3 linked regions of the Rhinolophus ferrumequinum genome follow. The protein of the gene in region 3 interacts with the protein of the main gene of each other region in a pairwise test. Links are inferred from orthologs where the notes say so. Each region holds a gene or a part of one and is shown on either strand. Other genes may lie near its edges.

What was found. The genes of interacting proteins can lie anywhere in the genome.
Region 1: the proteins of EGFR (region 3) and SH2D3C interact in a protein complementation assay, tested with the Homo sapiens proteins (3 studies listed by BioGRID and IntAct, with this or other methods). The link is inferred for Rhinolophus ferrumequinum from reciprocal best matches to the Homo sapiens genes EGFR and SH2D3C.
Region 2: the proteins of EGFR (region 3) and SYN1 interact in a protein complementation assay, tested with the Homo sapiens proteins (2 studies listed by IntAct). The link is inferred for Rhinolophus ferrumequinum from reciprocal best matches to the Homo sapiens genes EGFR and SYN1.

What each region holds. Positions count from the first base shown.
Region 1 is NC_046295.1:76,826,815-76,834,096, reverse strand, and holds the start of SH2D3C (SH2 domain-containing protein 3C), read left to right. Parts: upstream 1-4,276; 5' UTR 4,277-4,636; coding exon 4,637-4,683; exon of another isoform or gene 4,684-4,786; intron 4,787-5,451; exon of another isoform or gene 5,452-5,722; intron 5,723-6,008; exon of another isoform or gene 6,009-6,148; intron 6,149-7,282. Other genes in the region: CDK9 (cyclin-dependent kinase 9), read right to left, coding at 135-500, 974-1,122, 1,281-1,452, 1,563-1,729, 2,077-2,167, 2,933-3,014, 3,469-3,908. UniProt on the Homo sapiens protein: Acts as an adapter protein that mediates cell signaling pathways involved in cellular functions such as cell adhesion and migration, tissue organization, and the regulation of the immune response.
Region 2 is NC_046284.1:86,361,982-86,368,970, reverse strand, and holds the start of SYN1 (synapsin-1), read right to left. Parts: upstream 3,007-6,989; coding exon 2,630-3,006; intron 1-2,629. UniProt on the Homo sapiens protein: Neuronal phosphoprotein that coats synaptic vesicles, and binds to the cytoskeleton. Acts as a regulator of synaptic vesicles trafficking, involved in the control of neurotransmitter release at the pre-synaptic terminal.
Region 3 is NC_046303.1:4,395,623-4,403,517, forward strand, and holds the start of EGFR (epidermal growth factor receptor), read left to right. Parts: upstream 1-4,891; 5' UTR 4,892-5,117; coding exon 5,118-5,205; intron 5,206-7,895. UniProt on the Homo sapiens protein: Receptor tyrosine kinase binding ligands of the EGF family and activating several signaling cascades to convert extracellular cues into appropriate cellular responses.

The DNA.
Region 1 (7,282 bases), on a different chromosome or scaffold from region 3:
TGCCCAGGGTGGGGATTAAATAAAATACGCACCAGAGAAATAACTCAAATGCCCCATCAGCTCCACAATGTGAGTCACACAGCAGAAGAGAAAATAAAACAAGAGCCCCAATGAAAAGCGACAGCAGCCGGCCTTCAGAAGACGCGCTCGAACTCCGTCTGGTTGGTCGTGGTGGGGTTTCGGCTCTGGTTGGTGGACTGCTGGGTGATCTGGCTGCCCTTCCGGCGTGGCGGCGCCAGGTATTCGAACATGGATGTCAGGTGGGTGGACAGCATGCCCTTGAGGTCCGAGGGCATGGGGTCAGACCAGAAGAAGTCGTGGTTGAGGGCGTCGTCGCTGTCAATGCGCTGTGCGGGATCCAGCACCAGCAGCTTGTCGATGAGGTCCAGGGCGTAGGGGTCACGCACGTAGGCCTTCAGCCTGTCCTTCACCTTCCGCTTCTGGCCCTTTACCAGGTCCAGTTTCTCAAACAGCTCGTACTTGTCCACATTTGGCCACACCTTAAGGGGGCATGGAAAGAGGATGAAGTTAATTCAGGGGGTGTGTGGCTTGTCCATTGGTCACGCACCTGAAGGGACTAAAATGTTTCCATTCAGATGCTCTCAGACCACGTCTAGAAGGCGAACTCGACCCCTCCGAGGTGAAAGCACCAGTGACCACGTATTTGGCACATCCCAAGTGCTGGGCCCTTTTACATAAAATGCCTGGAATGTGTGTGCCAAGACTGACACAGGCACAGTTGTTTCACAGAAGAGAAACTCAACTCTGAGATGAAAATTTCAAACGCCTTGCCCAAGGCCACAGAACTAAGTAGTGATGGAGCCGAGAGCCTGTGTGGCTTAAAGAGCAGGCCCTGTCCCTCCACCAGCCGCCTCTCCAGAGCTTTCTGTCTGTTCCACTGCCCACTCCTCCCCTGCCAGGGAGACTTCTGCATCCTGCAGGGCCCAGAGGCCCAGGCAGCCTGGCCACCCACCTCAGGGGTGATGGAGCCACAGAGCTGGCTGATGAGGGCGAGCTGATGCTGCTCCGTGTTGCCCTGCATGATAGGGCTGCGGGTCCACATCTCCGCCATGATGCACCCAGCACCCCACAGGTCAATGGGGGGGCCGTAGTCCCGCTCCCCTGGGAAGAAGAGTGCACCAGGAGTGCCCCTTGAGCCCGAGGGCCTCCTGAGACGCAATGCCCGGGGGCCGGCGGCTCAAGAAGCCCTGGCAGTGGGGGGCTGAGGCCAGGTTAAGTGCCTAGCCCCTGCCCCCTTCTGCCCACTCGGGAGTCCTCACCGAGCAACAGCTCTGGGGGCCGGTACCAGAGCGTCACCACACGGTTAGTATAGCGGTTAGGCTGACTGTTCTTGGCGAGACTGAAGGCCCGGGCCAGTCCAAAGTCTGCCAGTTTCAGGACCCCGTCTCGGGTGATGAGCACGTTAGCTGCCTTCATGTCCCTGTGCAGGATCTGCAAGAAGGGCAAAGGTGAGGGCTCAGTCAGGTTCCCAAGGGTCCTTTAGCCCCGCCACCCAGCGGTGGGAGTACAGGCAGACCAAGCCTCGGTCTCTCCTCCCCCACCTTGTTCCTGTGGATGTAGTAGAGGCCATTGAGCAACATCTGCATGACCCTCTTGATCTCAGACAGTGTGAACTTGACTAAGACGTTGCTCAGCAGCCCAGCAAGGTCATGCTCGCAGAAGTCAAACACCAGGTATATACTGCCTTTGCAGCGGTTATAGGGGGAAGCTGAGGTGGGAAGAATGGGGAAGGAGCAAGAAGAAGAAAATAAAAAATCCCATATACCACTCATTTTCCCACAACCAGCTCCTACCCCCCTCCAACCCACTGACACCCAGAATCCATCTGTGGGTTCCTTCACTGGTAAAGTATTTCCCGAGTGAGTCCTCTGGGCCAGGTGCTGTGGCGGACCCTGGGAAAGCACCAGCTACGATGAAAGGACCAGAGAAAGCAGTCACAGTTGGTAGGTATGCCTGGGTTAAAAGTGTGTCCAGTTCCAACTTTGCAAACAAAGCCTTAAGTTCTAAGCCTCATTTTCTCCATTTGAAAATGGGAACAAGATTCAAACAACTTACCTTTGGTTCGACAGATCTCAATCAAGTTGACCACATTCTCATGTTTTAGAAGCTGCAGGATCTTGATTTCCCGCAGGGCGGTAATGGGGAACTGGGTGGAATAAAGAAAGGAGGTCAAAAGTGAAAGCGCACTGCAGATCAAGGAACTGGCCATGGGGTCTATACTAACGGGAACAGGTTGGGAAGACACAGTAAGATCACAGGCTCTGAAATCAGCTATCTCAGATGCCTTATCTGTAAAATGGGTGTAAAGTAGTATGCACTCCTCAAGAAGATGCTTTCAGACAATGAATTGAAATAGTGATACTTAACCACTTCATTATTGGTCACTAAACGCTCCCTAATTTCTTCAACCTTTAAATTTTAGCTCTGTGCCTGTGTTTAACTTGCTGGGTAGTAACACAAATGACCATTCAAGTTCCTTGCTAACAAGCACATCTCTGAAAGCTGGACTAGAGCTAAGATGTGGTGGGAGAGGGACTCCTTTTCAGTTGAGTACTAGTCACCCTTTTAAAGCCATTGCATGTATTTTCCTTTTGCACTGAACAAAATTAAATTCTAAGGGAAGTGTTTTAACAAAGGCTTTCCAACTTCACAAGCCCAAGTGCATTCAGTGCAAGCATGAGCTCCCCCTCCTGGCCCCAACCTTGTATTTGCCTAAGAATGAAATACCAAATGCTTTAAAATATTTGAACTGAAAGATTTAATTTGGAAGTCAAATTTCCTGGGCTATGGAAATTCTCGAGCTACTACACATAAACTAAATTTCAACACGTGAGTCCTAGAAGCAGCAGGATGGAAACCCACATGCCCCGGGGAGATGGCTGGCCAGCTAGCCCACCCGACCCATACTCACCCCCTCCTTCTCGTTCTCCATCAGTACCTTCTTCAGAGCCACTTTTTGGCCGGTCAAGCGGTGCTTTGCCTTAAACACCTCCCTGCAGGCCGAAAGGGGGACCCAAAAAGATTCATCAGGCCGTTTTCACATGGCTCGCCCCTCCCCCTCCAGAGGAGGAGGGCAGAAAAGAGACTCCCGTGTAGGGCTGAGCCTGGTACCTAGGGCAGTGGGCTACCCTACTATCTGCGGTCCCTCTCCCAACCTCTACTTCCTCCCCAGTCTCTTCTCCTCAGCCTGACGTCTCTCGGAGAGATCCTGCTCCCCTCACAAGCTCCTCTGCAATTCCTGCCCGTTCCCCACCATGGGCCTCAGGCTCCTCCCCGCCAGCCAGCTCCATCAGGCCCCGGCGGACTGCAGTGCGGCCTAGCGAGACCAGGGAATAACTCTAGGGCCAAGTGGCTCCCCGACCACCTCTGGCCCAGCCCCGGGCGTCCCGACGTCGGCCCTGAGGGGTGCAGGCCCAGGGCACCGGGTCCCTCGGGGCCCATCCTTACCCAAAGGTGCCTTGGCCGATCTTAGCGAGCTTCTCATATTTGGTCACCTCATCACAAAAGGGGCACTCCACCGAGTCGTACTGCTTTGCCATGGCCGCCTCTAGCGCGCCGCCGCCACCCCCAGCCGCCGCCGCCGCCGCTGCTCCCGCTCCGGGTCCCGCCGCCGTGCTCCAGGCCCCTCCGCGGCCGCGCCACTTCCGCCTCCACGGCCACTTCCGGCCTCGAGGCGCCGACCCCGCCTCTTCCGCCCGCCGCCCGCCGCCAGGCCCCCTGGGACTTGTAGTTCCCGGGAGGCCAGGAGGAACCGGAGCTGCAGAGGCGCCTCCGCCGCCACCGCTGCCCCCACCTCCGCCGCCGCCACTGCTGGCGGCGGCCCCGATTGGGGGCGCGGGGAGCCGGGGCGCCGGGGCTGGGGCTCGGGGCGGTGCGTCCCGCTGCATTGGCCCGGGCCGCCGCTGCTGCCGAAGCCGCTGCCGCTCTGGCGCCCGATCCCGGGCCAGCCGCAGTGCCCTGCTCCTCCTCCTCCGACGGCGCCGCCTCCGCCGGGCTGCGCGGGGTGGCGGGCGGGGGGACGGCCCCCAAGCCGCGGCCTGGGGGGCTCCCTGGCCGGGCCCGGGCCCGGGGCGGCCGGGCGAGGGGGCGAGACGGGAAGAGCCGACGAGGAGGCGGCCCGAGAGCCCGGGAGGGGGCGCGTTATAAAGGGGGAGGTGCCCGGGCCTCGCCCTCCCCTCCCCCTCCGCCCGCCCCCTCCCTCCGCCCTCCCGTCCTCCGCGGCCGCACCTGCCGCCGCCGCTGCCGCCGCCTCCCGCCGGCTGTCCGCCGGCCGCCCTCGGCGCGTCACAGCCCGCGGCCCCTCCTACGCCTTCGGAGGTGGGGCCCCGCACTCGACACCTGGCTGAGGGGCGCCTCGCCGTGTGCCTCAGTTTACCGCCACATGCCAGCTGCCGCGGGGAGCGCCTATTCCCCCCCCCTCACTGGCGGGAGGCAGCGAGGGAGCGGCCTAAGGTCCGGGAGGAGAGAACGGCCCCCGCCACCGCCTCCCGGGGCCCCAGCCACCCGCCGTTGACATGGTAACCGACGGCCACCAGGGGGCGCGGCAACACTGGAGGCGGCGAATAAGCAATGCCCGGGCCTTCTAGCGCTGGACCCTGTTCTCTGGGAGGCAGGGATGAAACCTAGAGGACCCCCGCCCCAGCCGAGCTGCGCGAGCCTTGGGTCAGTAATCACAAAAATAGCATTTACTCAGTACCTCTGTGTACTCAGGAAGTACTGGGCGTTTCCTCTGAATCCTGAATCAACAGCGTCATAGTAAGGATCACTAACCCATTTTACAGAAAAGGACATTGAGGCTCAGAGAAGTGAGGTCATTTGCCCAAGGTCACACAATGACAAAGCTGGGACTCGAACCTGGTCTGCCTGAAGGGGATTCTCCTGACTCAGGCTGTCCTGGCCAGGACTACAGCAGTGGTGCTGTTTGAGGCCTGCTGTCCTTACGCCAGGCACCAAGCCTGCCATTCACCCAGTGTCTCCCTCCCTGGCCGTATTCCCCCTTCCCCTGCCTCAGCCCTTCTCCAGCATCTTTCTGATATCTTCCTGGCTCCAGGGGGCCTCCCGATTCTTCCTCCAGCTCCACTCAACAACCAACCCCCAGAAAAGCTGTCTTTTACCTCCTCTGTACCCCTTCGATCTGCCCCTCTCCATTCCATTGCCCATGGATCTTGAGTCCTGGCCTCCCCAGTCCGGCTTCTCCATCTGTCTCCCTCACAGTACCCACCAGAGCATTCTGAAATAGAGTCTGCAGGTATTTCCCTCCACTCCCTTAAAGAAAAAAAATTGTGACATTTGAGGTTCTTTCCAGCTCGCCTCCTAGGCCACACGAATCTCCTGTGTTTCCTAACTCCCCAGGCCTTCCTGTCTTTAGGGCTGTGCTTCCTGATTGCACCCCAGAACCTCTCTATCTGCATGAAACTCTCCAGCTCTTACTCCACATGCTTAGCCTTGTAGCCTCCTTGTAGGAGGAGGCAGGAGTGGGTCTGCTGATTATGGTGTCCCAAGAGGCCCTGTTCTGGACAAGGGCTCTGCCAGGGAGGGCCTTGTGGGTCCGGTGAGGAGCAGGGAGCCCTCCCTCTCCTGAGGGCAGTGTGGAGCCGGCGAGGAGGGTTTTAGGTAGTCGAGTGACATACCAGGGAGTGATCTGGGATCAGCTTCATGGGTACACTTAGAAGCAGGGAGGCCATTGGCTAAAGTGGGAGTGCTGAGGGCAAGGAGGGAGAAAATAATTGTGATAATTACAATTTATTGAAGGAAAATAAATGGTCCAAGCCGTACACTTAGCACTTTATGGGTATTATCTCAAGTCTCACTCAGCCATATAAGTTGAGTACTATTATCACCTCCATTATACACATAAGGACACTGAAACTCAGAGGTGACATCACCTGGCCAGGGTAAAACAGCTGGCCAATGGCCACACTGGCATTTTGAGCCAGGCCAGTCTGGCACAAAGCCCCAGCACGTACCCATGTCAGGACCCCACCTACCTGGACGGGGGGTGGAGCACAGGCATGGCACAGCACCACTGGATGAGTGCCCTGGATGCTGATGGGAGCTGGAGGAGGGGATATCAGCATTGGGGTCTATCATGGGTTTGTGTGGGTGCCACCATCAGTCTCTCAGACCGGGGCCCCTGCCCACTTCCCATGAATACTCCCTAAGTCACATCCTGTGGGCAGAAGCCTCAGCAGAAGTTCCGGTGGTGTCATCACCTCCACCCTACTGTCTTTGACCTGTACCCCAACATTTCACCAGTCACTTCACTTCCCCTCTGCGCCTTGTGTCTCCAGCCTTCCCTGGGGAAAGAGGGCAGGCAGGAGTGGTCAGAAAGCTGCCCAGGCTGCCCAGGTGGAAGGGAGAAGAAATGAAGCGCGAGCCAGAAACAATTTCTCACTGACTTGGATTTCTGATTCGCTCTTTTGAGGGAAATGCTTCCTGCTTCCCTGGATTGGCTAAGCTAGCCAGGCCGGACGTGTGGCCAGTACTCAATAAATGTTTGCTGACTGACTACAAGGCTGTGAGAGAGCCTGTGGTCCTGCTGCCATTTAACAGTCAGGGAAACTGAGGCACAGGATGGGAAAAGGAGCCACTGGCCTGGACCCTCTTATTTTCTCCCCCAAGCAGGGACAGGGTGGAGAGGGTATGGAGGGATGAGGAAGATGGGCCCATGGGGTGGGTGCTCTTGGCTGCTGGTAAGTCTGAGGAGACAAGGGATCCCTGAATGGGGGGTACAGAGAATGGCTGTGTGATACCTAGAGCCCTGTAACACCATGGACATTCTGTCCCCACTAGACGGGTACTGACTCTGCCAGGACCTGTATTGATATGTTGTCCCCCTAGAACTTTACAGCACCCCTATTAGGAGGTTGCTAGTATCAGGCCCAAGTTACAGAAAAAGAAACTGAGGCTCAGAGTGTGCCCAAGGCCACACAGCCAGGAAGCTATGGAGCTGGAATTCAAAGCCAGGTCCCTCTGCTCTCAAAGGCTGGGGTCATTTATCACTATCCTACACTGCCCCCAATACCAGACAAGTGGGCAAGCTGGGGAGAGGCATCAACTGAGTCCCACAGTACAGCAGGCGTGGGGCCAACGTGGATGCGTAAGGCTGCTTCCTCTCAGAGCACAAGGTCTGTTTGGAAGATGCAAAGAAAGACACAGGAGAACGTAATAGGGATGATACTCTCATATAAATGTTTTATTTCATTGCCACAGGATCGTGTGAAGATGTGGTATTTGTCCCATTTTACTGATGGGGAAAATG
Region 2 (6,989 bases), on a different chromosome or scaffold from region 3:
GAGTGGAGAAGGGGTCTGAAGGATGACGGTTACCAATATTTAGAGGGAACTCATAAAGGTTTGTTGACTTCAGTGAAGCAAATTTAGCCAGGAAGATGGCGTCTGTGCGAGTGGGTGTTGGTGAAGGAATTATAGCATGTGTTCATTAAATGCTTTGTGGAATGATGGAGAAAAGACTGGAGGATCTGATGCAGGGATGGAAATGTGGTTGTTTGAACAGAACACACTAAGAGATTAATAAATGCTCCTTGGGTTAATTGGGGGAAAGGAGCGGTTGGGAAGATAGCCATCTGAGTGGGGGAGGGGACCTGGCCAGCATACAGTAGGTGCACATTAAGAGCTTTTAGGATTGTGTAGTGTGGAAGGCAGGGTGAAGGTTGTTGAAGGGGGAATCAGGGCTACAAGAGGGGGAGGAGAAGAGGCTTTGAATATGGGGTTCTTAGTAGTATACAATAAGTGTTCATTAAACACTTGTGGCATTAAGTGGAGGAAAAGGTATAGAGAATCCAGCTGGTGATTAGGATTAAAAGGAAGAAAAACTGAAGGAGGGGTCTTCCTAGTATATAGGACTGCTTAACAAATGCCTCCCACACTCTCACACATGAAAAGTATCTGTAAAATAAATAATTGGCTCTGAAAAGAGAGAAAGGACGCTGGTAAGGGCTCCTGGGGGGGAGGGGTTATCTAACCAGTAAAAGCTGATACTCAATAAATTTAGGCTGAAGTAGACCCTTGGGTGGGGGGAGATCTTGAGATAGGGGCAGAACTTCCAGACTCGGAATGGCTCTTATATAGTTAGTAGGTGCTCAAAAAGTGTTTAGCGGCTTAAATAGAAGAAAGGCTCTTTGAAGTATGGACTTAAGATTGGGAGAGGGAATCCTAAGGACACTGAAGGGAGTGGGAAAGGGGTAACCTTTATAATTTGGGCTCTGGACTTATCAAAGTAAAGGAGCCTGGGGAGAGGCTTTATGATTGACAGGGGAGAGGCAGGTTCTCCTAGGGGTGATGAAGTGGGGTATACTCCCTACACACAATAGGTACTGGATCCACTGGAAGAAAAGGACTTTGGGGAGGAAGAGTGAACACAGAGCACACATAAGGCACTCCATAAATGCTGACAGAACCCATTGGAGGGAAGGGCCTTTGGGGAAAGGAGATTAGAATTGAGCACCTGGCAGATAAGGCATAAATGCGCAGTGAATCCATTAAGAGAAAAGGTCTTTGGGGGGGGCGGGGCTAGGGATGGGCATACAATCACTGGACCCATTGGAGGAAGAGTCTTTTGGGGAACGGGAGTGGGGATGCAGAAACTTGATCTATGTAAGCTTGATTCCCTCATCTATGGGAGGAAAGGCTTTTGTGGAGAAGGCACAGAATCAGGTGCTCCACAAATGCTCCAAGGAGTTATTAAAAAGAAAAGGTCTTTGGAAAGAGGGATTGAAATAGTACACACAGCAAGTGCTAGATATCTGATTACTGTATTTATTGGAGGCAAATGCCTTTATGGAGAGGGTCTAAGTTTGGATCATGCAGAAGGTGCCCAATACATGCAAACTGAAGCCACTGGAGGAAAAGGCATTGAGGAAAGGGTTTGGGGATGGGGTAAATAGAAGGCACTCAATTAATGCTTGCTGACTACACTGGAGAAAAGAGTCTTTAGAGAAGGCTCACACAGTAGGCGGTTGATAAGTGCTAGGTGGGTCCATCAAAGGAAAGGTCTTTGAAGAAGTAGCTTGAAAATGGGGGATAAAGGAGGCACTCAATAAATGCCTTCTAGAGCCATTGTAGGAAAAGGATTTTGGGGAGAGAGTCTGAGGATGAGTCACACACAGAAGGCTAAAAAAATGCTCATTTGAGGAAAATGATATGTTTGAGAAAGGGGTTTGGGGACGGGGCATACATCAAACACTTAATAAACGCTTTCTAGATTCTTTGGAGAAATAGGCCCTTGGAGAGGGGGTCCGGAGTTGGGGCACACAGAAGGCATTCAATAAAGGCTCACAGGATCCATTAAAGGCAACACTTTTGGTGAGAAGCTGAGGTGGGATACACAGCAGGCACTCGAAGTTCACTGACTAGTTTTAAAGGTCCTTGAGGAGAGGGCTGGGGTCGGGCACGCAGCTCACTCTGGATACATGCTCACAAGATCTATTAGAGAGAAGGCCTTAGGGCAAGGGTTGCAGGGGACAAGACACATGTCAAACTCTTAACGCATGATCACAAAATTCATGAAGCCAAAGGCCCTGGAGAAAGGCTCCTGTTGAGGCACACTGCAGGTACTTGATACATGCTCACGAGATCCATTAGAGGATAAATAAGGCCTTTGGTGCGAGGGTTGGGGGGGCAGGGAACATTCTGCTCTCAAATGTTCACATGACACATTAAAGCCAACGCTTTTGGGAAGGAGGTACACAGCAGGTGCCCCATAACCTCTCCCTGTATGGATCGAGTGGACCTGGGGTGGGGTAAGGGCGGGGTACAAAGGAAGCGGCCAGCATAATAATTTAAAGGAAAAGGTTTTGGGCGAGGGGGCTCAGGTGCTAAGCACACAAGTGGTGCTCGATAATTGCTCGTCACGGAACCATCTGGGGACCCAGGCCCATGGAGAGACATCGGGGCAGTGGCTTACCAGTCGGTGTGGGGCTCGTCGATGACCAGCAGCACCCTAGCGGCGGCGCCCCCACGGCCTGCGCCCCCAGAGCCGCCGCCCACCTGCTCGCTAAAGGTGGCGGCCGCGGCCGCAGTGGTCTGCTTGACAGCGTTGGACAGCGACGAGAAGAAGCCACCACCCCCGGAGGACCCTGGGCTAGGGGCGGCCGGAGAGGCCACAGGGGCGGCTGCGGAGGCCCTTTCGGCACTGGCGGTCGTGGGACCGGGCGTGGCTCCGGGGCTGGGGGCAGCAGGTGGTGGCGGGGTCGGCTGCGGGCGTTGCAGGTCTGTCATGTACCCATTTGGCAGATTGGCCATGAAGTTGCTGTCCGACAGGCGGCGCCGCAGGTAGTTCATGGCTGCGGCGCGGGGCAGGGGGTCCTAGGAGCAGTCTGGTCAGGAGCCGCGGGGGCGGACCGCGCCGAGCCCAGGAGCACAGCTGCTCTCAGGCACGACGCGACTCTTTCGCTGCCCGCTGCAGACTGAGGCAGCGCTTAGTCGCGGCCGCCGCAGCGCGGATGGTCGCGCCCGTGCGCCCCTATCTCGTGCCCCGCGTGGTGCAGTCCGGCAGGGCCGCCGGCGGCGTGGACGCGACCAAGGCGACCGGGAAGGGGAGTTTGTGGAGGAATGGCGAGTGACGTCAGCGCGCCTTCAGTGCTGGGGCGGCGGTGGCGCGCGCCGGCTGGCGGGGGCGAAGGCGCTGTCCGCGGTGCTGAAGGTGGCAGTGCGCACGCGCCACGCCGCATCTTGTTCCCCTCCCCCCCTCCGATTGGGGATGCGCAATTTGGGGAGTGGGGGCGGGGGTAGGTGCTTGTCCGAAGGTTTGGGGTGGGTGGTCAGTCAAGCCCCCCACCCCACTTCATCCTGGTCTTCATACTCAGTCGCATCCACACGCAGGACCCTCCGCAGATACTTGGTTTCCAGTGTTGATATTCATCACAGAAGGCATGTATGGGGGGGTGGGAATGGAGGCATACACAGAGACACAAAAGTACAGAAATAACTCCCTCATGGCGAGGGGTAGGGGTCACACGCAATACCCGCAGCGTGATCAGTTTCCCACTTCTACACAGGCTCAGCTAGGCAGAGAGGCATGCGGGGGTGGCGTAGACAGCAACAGACAGGCGGAGTTGGACACTTGGGCGGGGTACACACCCTTGCCCTGGGGGGCTGGAGACGCACGGGAATGACACACACAAAAGTAAGGAAACACACGAGGCATGTACAGACAGAGAAGACACACCAATCTAGGAATCTATACACACCCAAGCCCAGGGTAACACACATGGACATGCATGCATACATGCACGTGTATACGCCTACACGCACACGGGCACCACACTAACACACTGAACCAGGGAAACTCACACGAGTATGCACACCCAGCTAAAAGGCATACCCACAGACGATAATGAACATAGATCAGCCACACCGGCACATTCCCTGAAGCTCTAGCCCTGACGTGTGTCCATCTATCCCCCTCTACATACATACTCGGTCTGTACGCCCCCATTCGTCTGCCAAAAATCAGAAAACCACCTGGTATTATCAGTGCCCATGGCTGTCTCCCCCTGCACCAGAGAACTTTCTACAGGCAGAGGCAGACCCATCCTATGGTATGCACACAGTTGGTGCCAAATAATGTTTGCCACATAAGCAAATGACTTTTATAGTCCAGGTAGAGGTGGGCCGTGAAAATCATTCTGTCTGCTCCTATGAGATCCTGACTACAATGAAAGCACAAATTCATTTTAAAATAATTATCTGTTGATTGATTGTACCCAATGCTTAACTGAGCTGTTTTGAGAAATGTATTGTCTCATCCAATCCTCACAACAATAATATGGGGTGGGTAATATCATTTCCATTTTATAGATGAAGGAACCCGAGAATTCCAATTCATTCCCAAAGGGTCACGTTCAATTTGTGATCCACACATTGTTTTTTCCTTTTAAGAATGTGCCAGACGAGGTGCCAGTGTGGCTGAAGCAAATTGAAAGAAGGGGATTTGGCAGGAGATGGGGTCAGAGAGGCTAGCAGGGACAGGATTGAGAAGGGCCTTGTGGGCATAGTGAGCGATGCTGGGAGACCAACTGAGGGGGAAGAAGATATGGCAAGAAGTAGGCAGATTGGGAGTTTCTTCTGCCCGCAGGCTTTTCAGGTGAATCGTCCACTTATTCACGTGTCCACTCTTAATTTATTAAATCAATGGCCTGTTTAAACGAGGTAGTAATATTGTGGGGTCTGGAGTCAGAGTGCCTGCCTTCAAACTAAAAATGATCACCTGACTCACCTCTAGGGCGGTGTGTGTTGGGGTGGGCAGGAGGTAGGGGGAGACCACCTCTATCCTTGCACGTGCTGTGACTTCTGCCAGGCATGTCCTGTTCCCCTCTCTCAGAGATCATCTTTGACCAAGGTCTCTGGGAAGTCCCCTCCCCCAGGACTCAGATTCCATCCCCTCTTCCCTGAGGCTCCCAGGCAAGTCAGAAACTTCCAAACCATCTTCTACTTCCTCCTCCATCCCAGACAGCTTCAGTCGAACCTCCAGGCCTTTGCTTTGGCCATTCCTTTCCCCTCTCTCCCAACACCCTCTCTGGCATTCCATATCCCAGCATTCCCCACATGGGAAACTCCCCACGAATTGGGCATTTCCCAACATTCCAATATGTGCTGTCCAGTTTGTTTGCTCAGTAACTGAAACAAACAAGCTGTGTTGGACCCATGGTGCCTTTTCTGGGGGCCAGGAACTACTGCAGGTCTAGACTTTTCTGGCTCCTCAGGAATCTGTTGCTAGACTGCCTCTTCCTAGGGGCCCCATTTCTAGGTTCCTAGTACTGGTGGACCTCAGCGTCATTCTCTTTCACCAGGTGGCTCAATTTCCAGGGATTAATTTTTTGTAGACTGTTTTGAAGAAGAATGAGGATTCCCCCCCAGAAGTGTCTCAACTCCTTGAGGCAGAGGTAAGGCTCCTCTACACCGTTTCCATGTTCTCCAGCAGGAATGTGTGTACAGAAGAGGCTCCAAGAATGGTTTTCTTTGCTGTGAACGACTGTGAATCCCACACGTCATGTTTGTAATCAGTATTGTACCTATGTTTATAACACACACACACACTTATCCATGTTGCCCAGATGTGCACCCCCCCCCATAACGCACACATTGTTATGGTGCACACATGGTTGTAACTTCACACTGCACACACTCAATACATCCTTAATTCTTGCACAGATCCATAGGTCTGCATATCACACATGCACAAGGATATGTGCTACATAATGCACACGCACGAACTTCCACTGTCTTGTAAACGCTCTCTTGTACTCTGTAGTAGCAACCAGAACCCCTCACTTTGGCTTCTTCCTCCCAAGATGACCAAATATTCATCAACCCCGTCTTCATCTCAACCCATCAACTGGCCCATTTTACACAAGGGGAAATCAACCCAGGGAAGTGAGCACGCTGACAGACTCCGGGTGCCACAAATCTCCCATCTGAACTCTCCCACAGTGATGCCCCTCCACGCACAGCACGAAGTCCTAAACTCTGCTCCTGACATGGTGCTTCAGAAATGGCCAGCCTATTACCTTTCGTGGTTTTGTTTCCTCCTTGGTAAATGGGGACGTTACTGATCCTTACATGTTCATGGTGGATTAAACAAATTCATGCTATGGAGGCTTAAAACACTACCAGGCACAAAGTAAGCACTAAGTATTAGCTATTACCATAATTATGATGATTCTAATACTTTGTCCCATTACAAGGGACCCAGCATTCGTAAGTGCTAAATGAATGATCAAATGCTAAGAGCATTAGTGTCTCGGTTTGTTCTCTGCACTGTGGAGACACAAACCACTCTGACTCTTCTTCCCTACCCCTCATGATGTCCAAGACTATTGTTAGTATATAGTAGGCGTTGATAAGTGTTGCATATTTAAAGAAAAGGATCACCTACTCTGAGTCTATTCCCTCGCTCAGATGTCCTCACCTTCTACCAGCCCTCCTCCACCCCAGATGCCCAGACTTAGCTCTGGTATACAGTAGACACTAATAAGTGTTGAATGAATGAAACAATGCTAACAGGAATCTGTGTCTGGGTGTGTCTGGGCTCCTCCCGGCAGATGCTGACTCTAGCTTCTCACAGGCACTTCCTTGCCACCGCCCCCACTCCGGCCGGTGGAGCTATTTGTCCCAGCTAACTGCAGCGTTGGAGCTGGGCTGTTGGGAGTGGGTGGGTGCAGGTGCTGGCGGAGCAGCCAGGCGCCCACCCCAATCACCTCAGGACTGACGTGGAATCCGGAATCCGCCAGCAGAGAGGCTCTGGCAGGTGGGAACCTAGGGAG
Region 3 (7,895 bases):
GCAAGCACTGAGAATTCTAGTTATGTGTCACATGCATTTTTGTAGTACAATAGCAAAACATCCTGATTTATGGTGGTGTTTAGCAATCAATGAGGTTGATGCTAGGAAGACTGGAAAGGCTCCTACTCTGACACACACACACCCCACACCTGCTTGGTCTGGGTGACCTTTTGCAGGCTGACAAGTCCTAGGGGGGCAGGACTGGTAACTGACCTCTGTCTCCCAGCTACTTTAGACTCAGTGACTGAATGTTGAGTAAATGCCGTTTATTCCTACTCAGAATTTTAATAAAATTGCTAACAACCCTCAGGACTCCTATGCATTTTATTTTATAAACAAAGTATTATTTATTATTCCTGTCTCCCTTCTTGAAGCAATTCATTTGAACCAGGTATTTAACCTAATACCTGTACAACTGTCAGGGCCCTGTCTCTGAGGCCCCTCCCTCATCTAAGTCACAACAACTCAGGTTTCTTGCAGCTCAGTTCCACAAACTTCACAACTTTAATAATTTCTGATTTTCCATTCAATTGGACCCTCAGGGGATGAGCAAGAATGAGTCTGATAGAGGAAGGAAGATAAAGGCGAGAGGAAAAGTAGAGATGGGAACCACATGTGTGCATGTGTATTTGCTGATAGGTTTTGGTCCAGAGGTCATGTATAACACATCTACACCATGGTAGGCCTCGCTTTGAAGGAGCGTATTTCAATGTGGAAGAATGTAAAATCACAAATGTTTATCACAAGTCGTGATTCTAGCGTATCATTATTGTGGCTGACATTCTCCAGGTATATGAGAATGATGAGAACAATACGTGTGTGGAGGCATAAGTTAATATTCATTATGAACATTAATATTCACTATGAATATTCACTAGTCCGTGAACCCAGAAGGGTGAGGCTGCAAACTTAATGTCTACAGCAGCCACGCAGTTCCCATGAACTGGAGAGTCACGTTTGTGGTGAGCCGGAGCCTTAACGTTCTTTCTGAAGGAGACAGTTATCACCCACCCAACTGCCATCTTGCATGAAAGCAGACCCAGCTGGCCAGCACTTCCCATTTTTGAAGAGAAACACAAGAGTCCACATTATAAATAGGAAATCTCTTGATTTGTAAATATGGCCACTAATTCAATTAGAAGAAATTTTGAATGGGCCCACAGAACCATGTCTGTATCCTGAACTTGGTCCTGAACTTGAGGCTCATGTTTCCAGTTAGAACCACCCCTGAGACGAGTAGTGACTCCCCGGACAAAGTTATGCAATCTCAGTGTTCCGCCTTCGGCAGGGGCAAAGCGTTATGCGGAGTCCCCAAAGTGCCTCCAAGACCCCCGTGCAAAGTGATTCCCACAGCACAGCGCCCGCAACCAGCATCCCAAAATGCAGCCCTGCCTTTTAGGCATCTCAGAACCGTCAGCCCCAGAGACAATGCATCAAAGACATGTTATACTACTAAGAATACTAACGATCAAGGAAGGCCTCAGCCATTTGGGGTCAGCGTATTATCCCCGAAAAAGAAGCTGCTTCTTCCATACTCTGGCAGAGATAGGTGTCAACTCAGAGTCAAATGCAAATAACTTGACTCAAAGGGAGAGAAAAAGGGCTGAGGAAACCAAGCCAACATCAGAACTGCCCAGGACCCTCTGCCAGGGGACGTACCAAGGTCACTGGTCCTTCACTTACAGAAATAGGTGATGCCTGCCCATAGAGGTACAACAGGACAGACCATTGAAATGTAAATCTCCTTCCATACCAACCCCCAGCTACCTAGGTTTCCTCCGAAGGGCAAAACTGTTACCACATTTTTGTGTCTTCTTAAAATATCTTTAGAAGAGCTCTGGAGTGTGAATACATTGGAATGGAAGGCTGTTTTAGAGATGCATGTTCCTACAGAATTCTAGGATTAGAAGGGACCTGGTTCAGTCCTTCAGCATAACCTTCCTGAGTACTTCTCCTGCATACATGTCTTTCTAAGGATGGAGAATCGCATTCCACTCGGAGGCAGCTCACTCCACTTTCAAACAGCTCTACCAATGTATGAAAGGTCATTTTTAAAATTCTGAAATCTGCCACTTTGATGTGTTTCCTCATCAATTCTTGCTTTGACCTCAAAGGCCAGAGAAAACAGGTGGTCAAATGCCTCTCGCCCAAGATGGAACTTTAAATATGTGAAGGCCTGCTGTCTTCACCCCGCCACAAAGCCCTGTTTTCGTCCCCTTTGGGGGACTACTCCCATGCTCCTTCTAGAAAGGTTTAAACGCCTACTTAAAATGCTCAGAAACCTCTTCTAAGAGGAAAACTGCTCATCAGAGGAGGAAAAAAGGTCTCCAGTTTGGAAGGTGGAGAAGAGAAAGAACAGCGCGTGTTAGGAAAATTGATGGGCCACGTGAGATTTTCTATGGGAAATACCAGAGCCTCGGTATGTCCTGGTTAATCTGGTGCCATGGATGCTTTCTCCGGGCCAAGGTGAGATTTGGGTTGTACCCTCTCTAGAGAGTTTCCAGATATTCTGAAATTGAATTTGGGATCCTGAAGTCTGTTTGTCTCAATTTTGGAAAAGTTTCAGTGATGAGGGATGAAGAACATGGCTGGGATTTGGGTTCAAGGCTGGTCTCGTGACTAGGAAGCATGCCCTGGGACACTGGGCAGGTTACATGGGTGACCTTTCCAACCCACGGCTTCCTCTTGCTATACAAGGCAGACAAAAGTGTACCCTGGCTCATAGGTGATCAATACTTAGTGGCATGTGGTCAGGCTGCTCCCGCTGTTCCCGTGGTGGTGGCCTGGGCCTGGGACGTGACCTGGGATCACTCTCTGCAGAGAGACTGTGTTCGCGAGCCGCAGCTATGCAGGGCCCAGTCTGGGCAAAGCTCCATGCTCTCAAGACGTCATTTCCACCAGCTCAGTCACACAGTTTTGTACCTAACAAGCACCACAGTTACCTGTGCACCCCGCGACCTGCCAAAGAGTACCACGTCACCCTGAATGTCACCTCTTAAGTCGCCAACTCCAAGGAGGAATCCAAACTTACAAAGGTGTCCCCAGAGGATGGATCCAGCCAGGGTGGGTCTGTGCGCCAGAAGCTCTGCCTCCTCCTCTAGTGATTGCTTTATGGAAGGATGTGATAACAATACAGCACTGCACAGGTTGTTGCTGTTAGAAAAGGGTGGTTACTGAGAACTCGCGGGGCTTCACACATTTTCTTCTCCTCGTGGACTCACGGGTGAAATTCCTGCGCAGTCTTCAAAATTAGCTGCAGCTTCAACTGATTGGCGTTGTAGCAAATGGACAATATGTTTTGTGCCAGCCATGGGATTTCCTTGACAGAAGGCTCTGGAGCCAAATTTGCGGCCTTGTTGAGTAAATGCATGGAATCCGTTGTAAGACTCACCCCCAGCTTTGTGCCATGTCCCACTGTTGTGTTTCTGATTTACCCTTCTCTGAGGTGTGTTACCTCTGTAGCTGTGTTTCTTCACAGACTGCCTTGTTAAATATTACAGGTAACATGTAACCCTGTTTGGAACATGTGGAGGGAACCCAGCACACCACCTGCAGAATCTTCAGAGCCCTCTTCATCGGGGCGGAAGGGGTTCGGAGGGCTCAGGGCCATCTTGATGTGCGCAAACAAAGGAACAAACACAAATGACTCTAAATTCAGAGTAAACACTACAGGCTGTGCCGACAGTGAGGCACCCTGTGCCCTGCATTTGCTGGACGGGGAGATGACCCTCCTTCTCTGGTGACACCAAAGGTCAGGCTGTAATTCCACTAACTTCAGTTTTGTGACTCCTGCTTAAATAGGGGGGACACCAGAGCCCACCGGGCCTGATGTCAGCAGTGGGACTTATGAGGAATAGAGGGGGTCTGGCTGTAGAATGCCCCCCCCCCCAGGACGTTTGTCCTGTAGTGAAGGAGCGAATTTGCTGAATGAATTTACCTAAGTTTCTGCAGCTAAGAAAGCCTAATTTCTTCTGGCCAAATCCTTAGCCAATTTCCCTGGTGTTTCTCCTGCTTGAGTCACGCGTGGCTGTCTGAGGGCACTGGGCACCTCGATTTTCCATAAAAGCATCTCCTCTAGTGTTTGTATCAAGCCTTTATCCAAGCGCCGGGCTTTTGCAAAGTAATTTACCGTGAATATTTGCTTGTCAAGTACCCCTGGCTGGCTCCGGGCCTAGGAAAGCTGTGGGCTCCCTCGGTACTCGTGCATTCATTCAACTAACATTTCCCAACGTCCGGCTCTGTGCCAGGAGTTGGGTGCCCTCATTTCAGACGATTCTGAGGATGCTTGACGGGCTGTGAAGGACCCTCCGACTTGAGAGCCCCGACTCAGCCGCTGGCCCGCGGGCGCAGCGAGGAACCAACCACCTGGCTGCCAAGCCAGCCTCGGCCTCCAGTAGGGTCCCCGGGTGCTTCGGGGGAGTTGGGCGAGAATAAAGGGGTGGTTTCCTCACCCGTGCCATTATCCAGCCTTGGGCATAAGTCTCAGCCAGGTCACCGGAGCTGGTACAAGTTTGCTCTGCAAGTTGAAGGGGTGGGGGCAATGTCTGGACGCAGGCTGGGTCACCGAGATAGCAGCGCCAGTCCGCGAGGGCTGGGTCCTGACGCACAGCGCTGGGAACTCGCCTCTCGGAACACGAATTCCCAGGAGCGGCCGCCGGCTCCCGCACGCCGCCCCCTCCCCGCTCCGCGCCGTCGCCCGAGCGCTGGGGCCCGCGGGGGCCACCGTGGTCTGCCCCTTCCGCGCGGCTGCCTGCCTGCGGTCCCCGCTGCTGGTTATTCCTCCCTCCTCCTGGCGTTCGGCTCCTCGCGATCCCTCCCCCTGCTCTTGGTCCCTCCTCCTTCCAGCCCAGGCGCCCCGCGCCCCCGCCCCGCGAGCTAGACGTCTGGGCAGCTCCGAGCGCTGCGCCGCGGCAGCAGCCTCCGCCCCCCGCACGGTGTGCACGCCCGCGGCCCCGGCTGCCCGAGTCCCCAGCGAGTCCCCAGCGAGCCTGCCCCGGCGGCCGCCGCCTCCCAGCCCGGACGACAGGCCACCTCCGGAGTCGCCGCCACCACGCACAGCCGCCCGGCTCCGTCTCGGACTAATTGCGGAGAGCGGGAGCGAGCGCCTGGGGGCAGCGATGCGACCCTCGGGGACTGTGGGAGCCGTGCTCCTGCTGCTGCTGGCTGCGCACTTCCCAGGGAGCCCGGCGCTGGAGGAAAAGAGAGGTACGGGCGTGTCCGCGGCCCCGCGCCACCCGGCCCGCAGCCGGCCCTCCTTTCCTGCTTCCTTGAGGAGCGGCTGCGCTGCTGGCCGGGACCGTGGGAGGAACGGGACGTTTCGTTTCTGAACTGGGCGAGTCTGCGGCGGCCCGAGGCGGGGAAGCTGCGGGCGCGGGCTGCGGGCGGGTGTGGGGCGCTCCCCGAGCGCTCGCAACTTTTCCGCGTCACTTTCCTGCCCTCCTGCGCGGGCTTGGCGTCCTAGAGCGAAAGTTGGTGCGGAGCCGGGGGCCGCTCGGGTCCCCGCGGTGCCGGCCGGCGTCCGGGCACGTGCGCCCGCGCTGTCCACTCAAGGGGCCAGGCTCGCGGGGCGCGCCCCCCAAGGGCTTCCGGACGCCCAGGATGCGGGAATCCCTCGGGGGACCTCCCGGGGCTCCCTACACCCGCGTCTTCCACTGAAGCCGGCTCGCTCCTTTCCCGGGCGTGGAGCTGCAGCCTCGAAGTGGGAGGCCCGGAGAGCTCGCCTCTGTCGCTAACTACCTGTGGCTCCCGGCAAGGGACTTAGTGTCCTCTTCGGCTCCTGGGGCGCGCCCCCACCCCCGCACCCCCGAGCTCCCTCCGGATCGTCCGCGGCCCTTGTCCCTCCCGGGAACTCCCGAGGTTTGCCCCCCACCTGCAGCACTTTGGTCACGTCTGTGGGCTTCGGGGTGGAGCGGGGCAGAGCGGTGCGACCGGCTGCAACCGGACAGCTGGGTCCTGGTGCTCACCTGCCTAAGGATCAGGACCCCACAATTTTTCAAAGTAGGGCTCCTATTTTGAAAATCCCGAGATTTTCTCTTTGGGACATTTCTTTTAGCTTTTTTAAAAATTTGACATGGGGCCAATCAAAATATTAAACTTAATTTTAAAAAAAAATGAAAACCGGATTTGGTGCCAAGTGTCCAGAGCGAACATGAGCGAGTCTGGCTTCGTGACTACCGACCATAAACCCACTTGACACAAGAAACATGTCTCAGAAGGTTTAACTGCACAATTTCAAAATCCTGCAGCCGGGTTCCAAGAGTCAGGTCTGTACTTGCAGTTGATGTCATTGGCGCAGGGAGTGGGGTTTGGTCCTGAGGGCGTTCGCTGGGGGAGCGTCAGGGCCGAAAACCGCGCTTCCCAAACTTGGGTGCAAATTAGAATCGCTTGGGATTTAAAACCAAACCGAACCCAAAATAAACAACGATGTCTGGCTCCCACCCCCCAGACATTCGGATTTCCTCGGTCAGGAGTGAGACCTGGCCTTCCGGGTTTGTACAGGCTCCTCAGGTGATTTTGTTGGGCCGCGGGATGTGAGGGATGACAGGCAATGAGTAGGGCGATTCGCAAAGACTCCAACGTCAGATGCTCTTTCTGGACATCGGGAGTTTTACCAGCAGTTGCAAAATACTGTGAGAGGAGACGGAGGTGATTTCAATAATAGTGGATTAGTTTTTTCACCGAAAGCTTTTCCTCCGGAGTCTGACGCCCCCTCTTCCCTGCTGTGAAACGGTCCCTTTGGTCCTGCTCCTGAAATCAGCTGACCAGGGCCGCCTCTCAGGCAGGTCGCTCTTTATTTTCTCTGCAGGGGTCGCCTGTCCTTTACATTAAAGTCTTGGAGCACCTCAAGCATCACTTTTCTCCAGAAATGTCCCCAGTGCGTCGCTGTTACCCCTTTGAACCCCAGGATTAGTGTGTGGAGATCTGTTTCTGAGAAAAATCGAAATACCGCTTAACTTGCCTGTTGGTCCTGTACTTGCTTAAAGCGGAATGCTCCTGAAAAAGAAAATGGTGAGAGTAGGCGAACAAATGTCATTCAGTGAAAGTAACATTAAAGACCAAAATTTAAGGGGTAAGTTATCAAAAATGAGATATGTTTTACCAAAAGTGTTAAAGACCCGTATCAGTCAAATTCAGTTAGTTTTATTCAAGAAAATGTGCTCATTTTAGAGAGATTTGTTTGGCTCTGAGGTATGGTATCGTCTCTTCCTCTTGTACTTAGTACAGTCAGACACGAGTTTGACTGTCCTATCAATCCTTGTGACTCTTCCATCATGCATATGAGGGGAAACTGAGGTACAGAGAAGTAAAGTGACTTTGGCATAGCTTGTGAGAGGCAGGACCAGGATTTAAACGTAGGCCATTTTGCCCAGAACCCTCTGCGGCCAGCCATCTCCACTGCTGTGTGTGAGTTCTGGTTTCAGGAGCGCCCGTTCAGGTGTGTGTGAGCATCTAATGTCAGCTGCTGGGAGGGGGAGGGAATGGACCAGGGGCTGGGCTTCTTAGGATGGTCCCTTCTGTGAACTTGGAACAAGCCGCCGCCTGGTCAGCAGTCTAGACCCCTGCCCACAGTTACTCAGTAGTTGCTCCGGCTGCCTTTCCTGGTGGCAACTCAGTCACCAAACCAGCAATGAACGTGGAGATCGCTCAAGGAATGTTGAACAAGCCCCTTGTTCTTGCAAAATGGAAAGGTACAGAAAATGTTGTTCTAAAAGAGATCTGGTGTGTGTTCCAAGGAGTTCCCAACCCAGCGAGCCTCCCTGCCCCACCTCTGAACACATTCTTGACTTTGGATGGTCGTTTCTGGCTCCGTATATTTCGTTTCATAGTCCAGGATGCTTCAAAGCTTATTCTGAAGTTTGAAGAAGCCTAGTGCCAAAATCCATGGTGCTCCATTA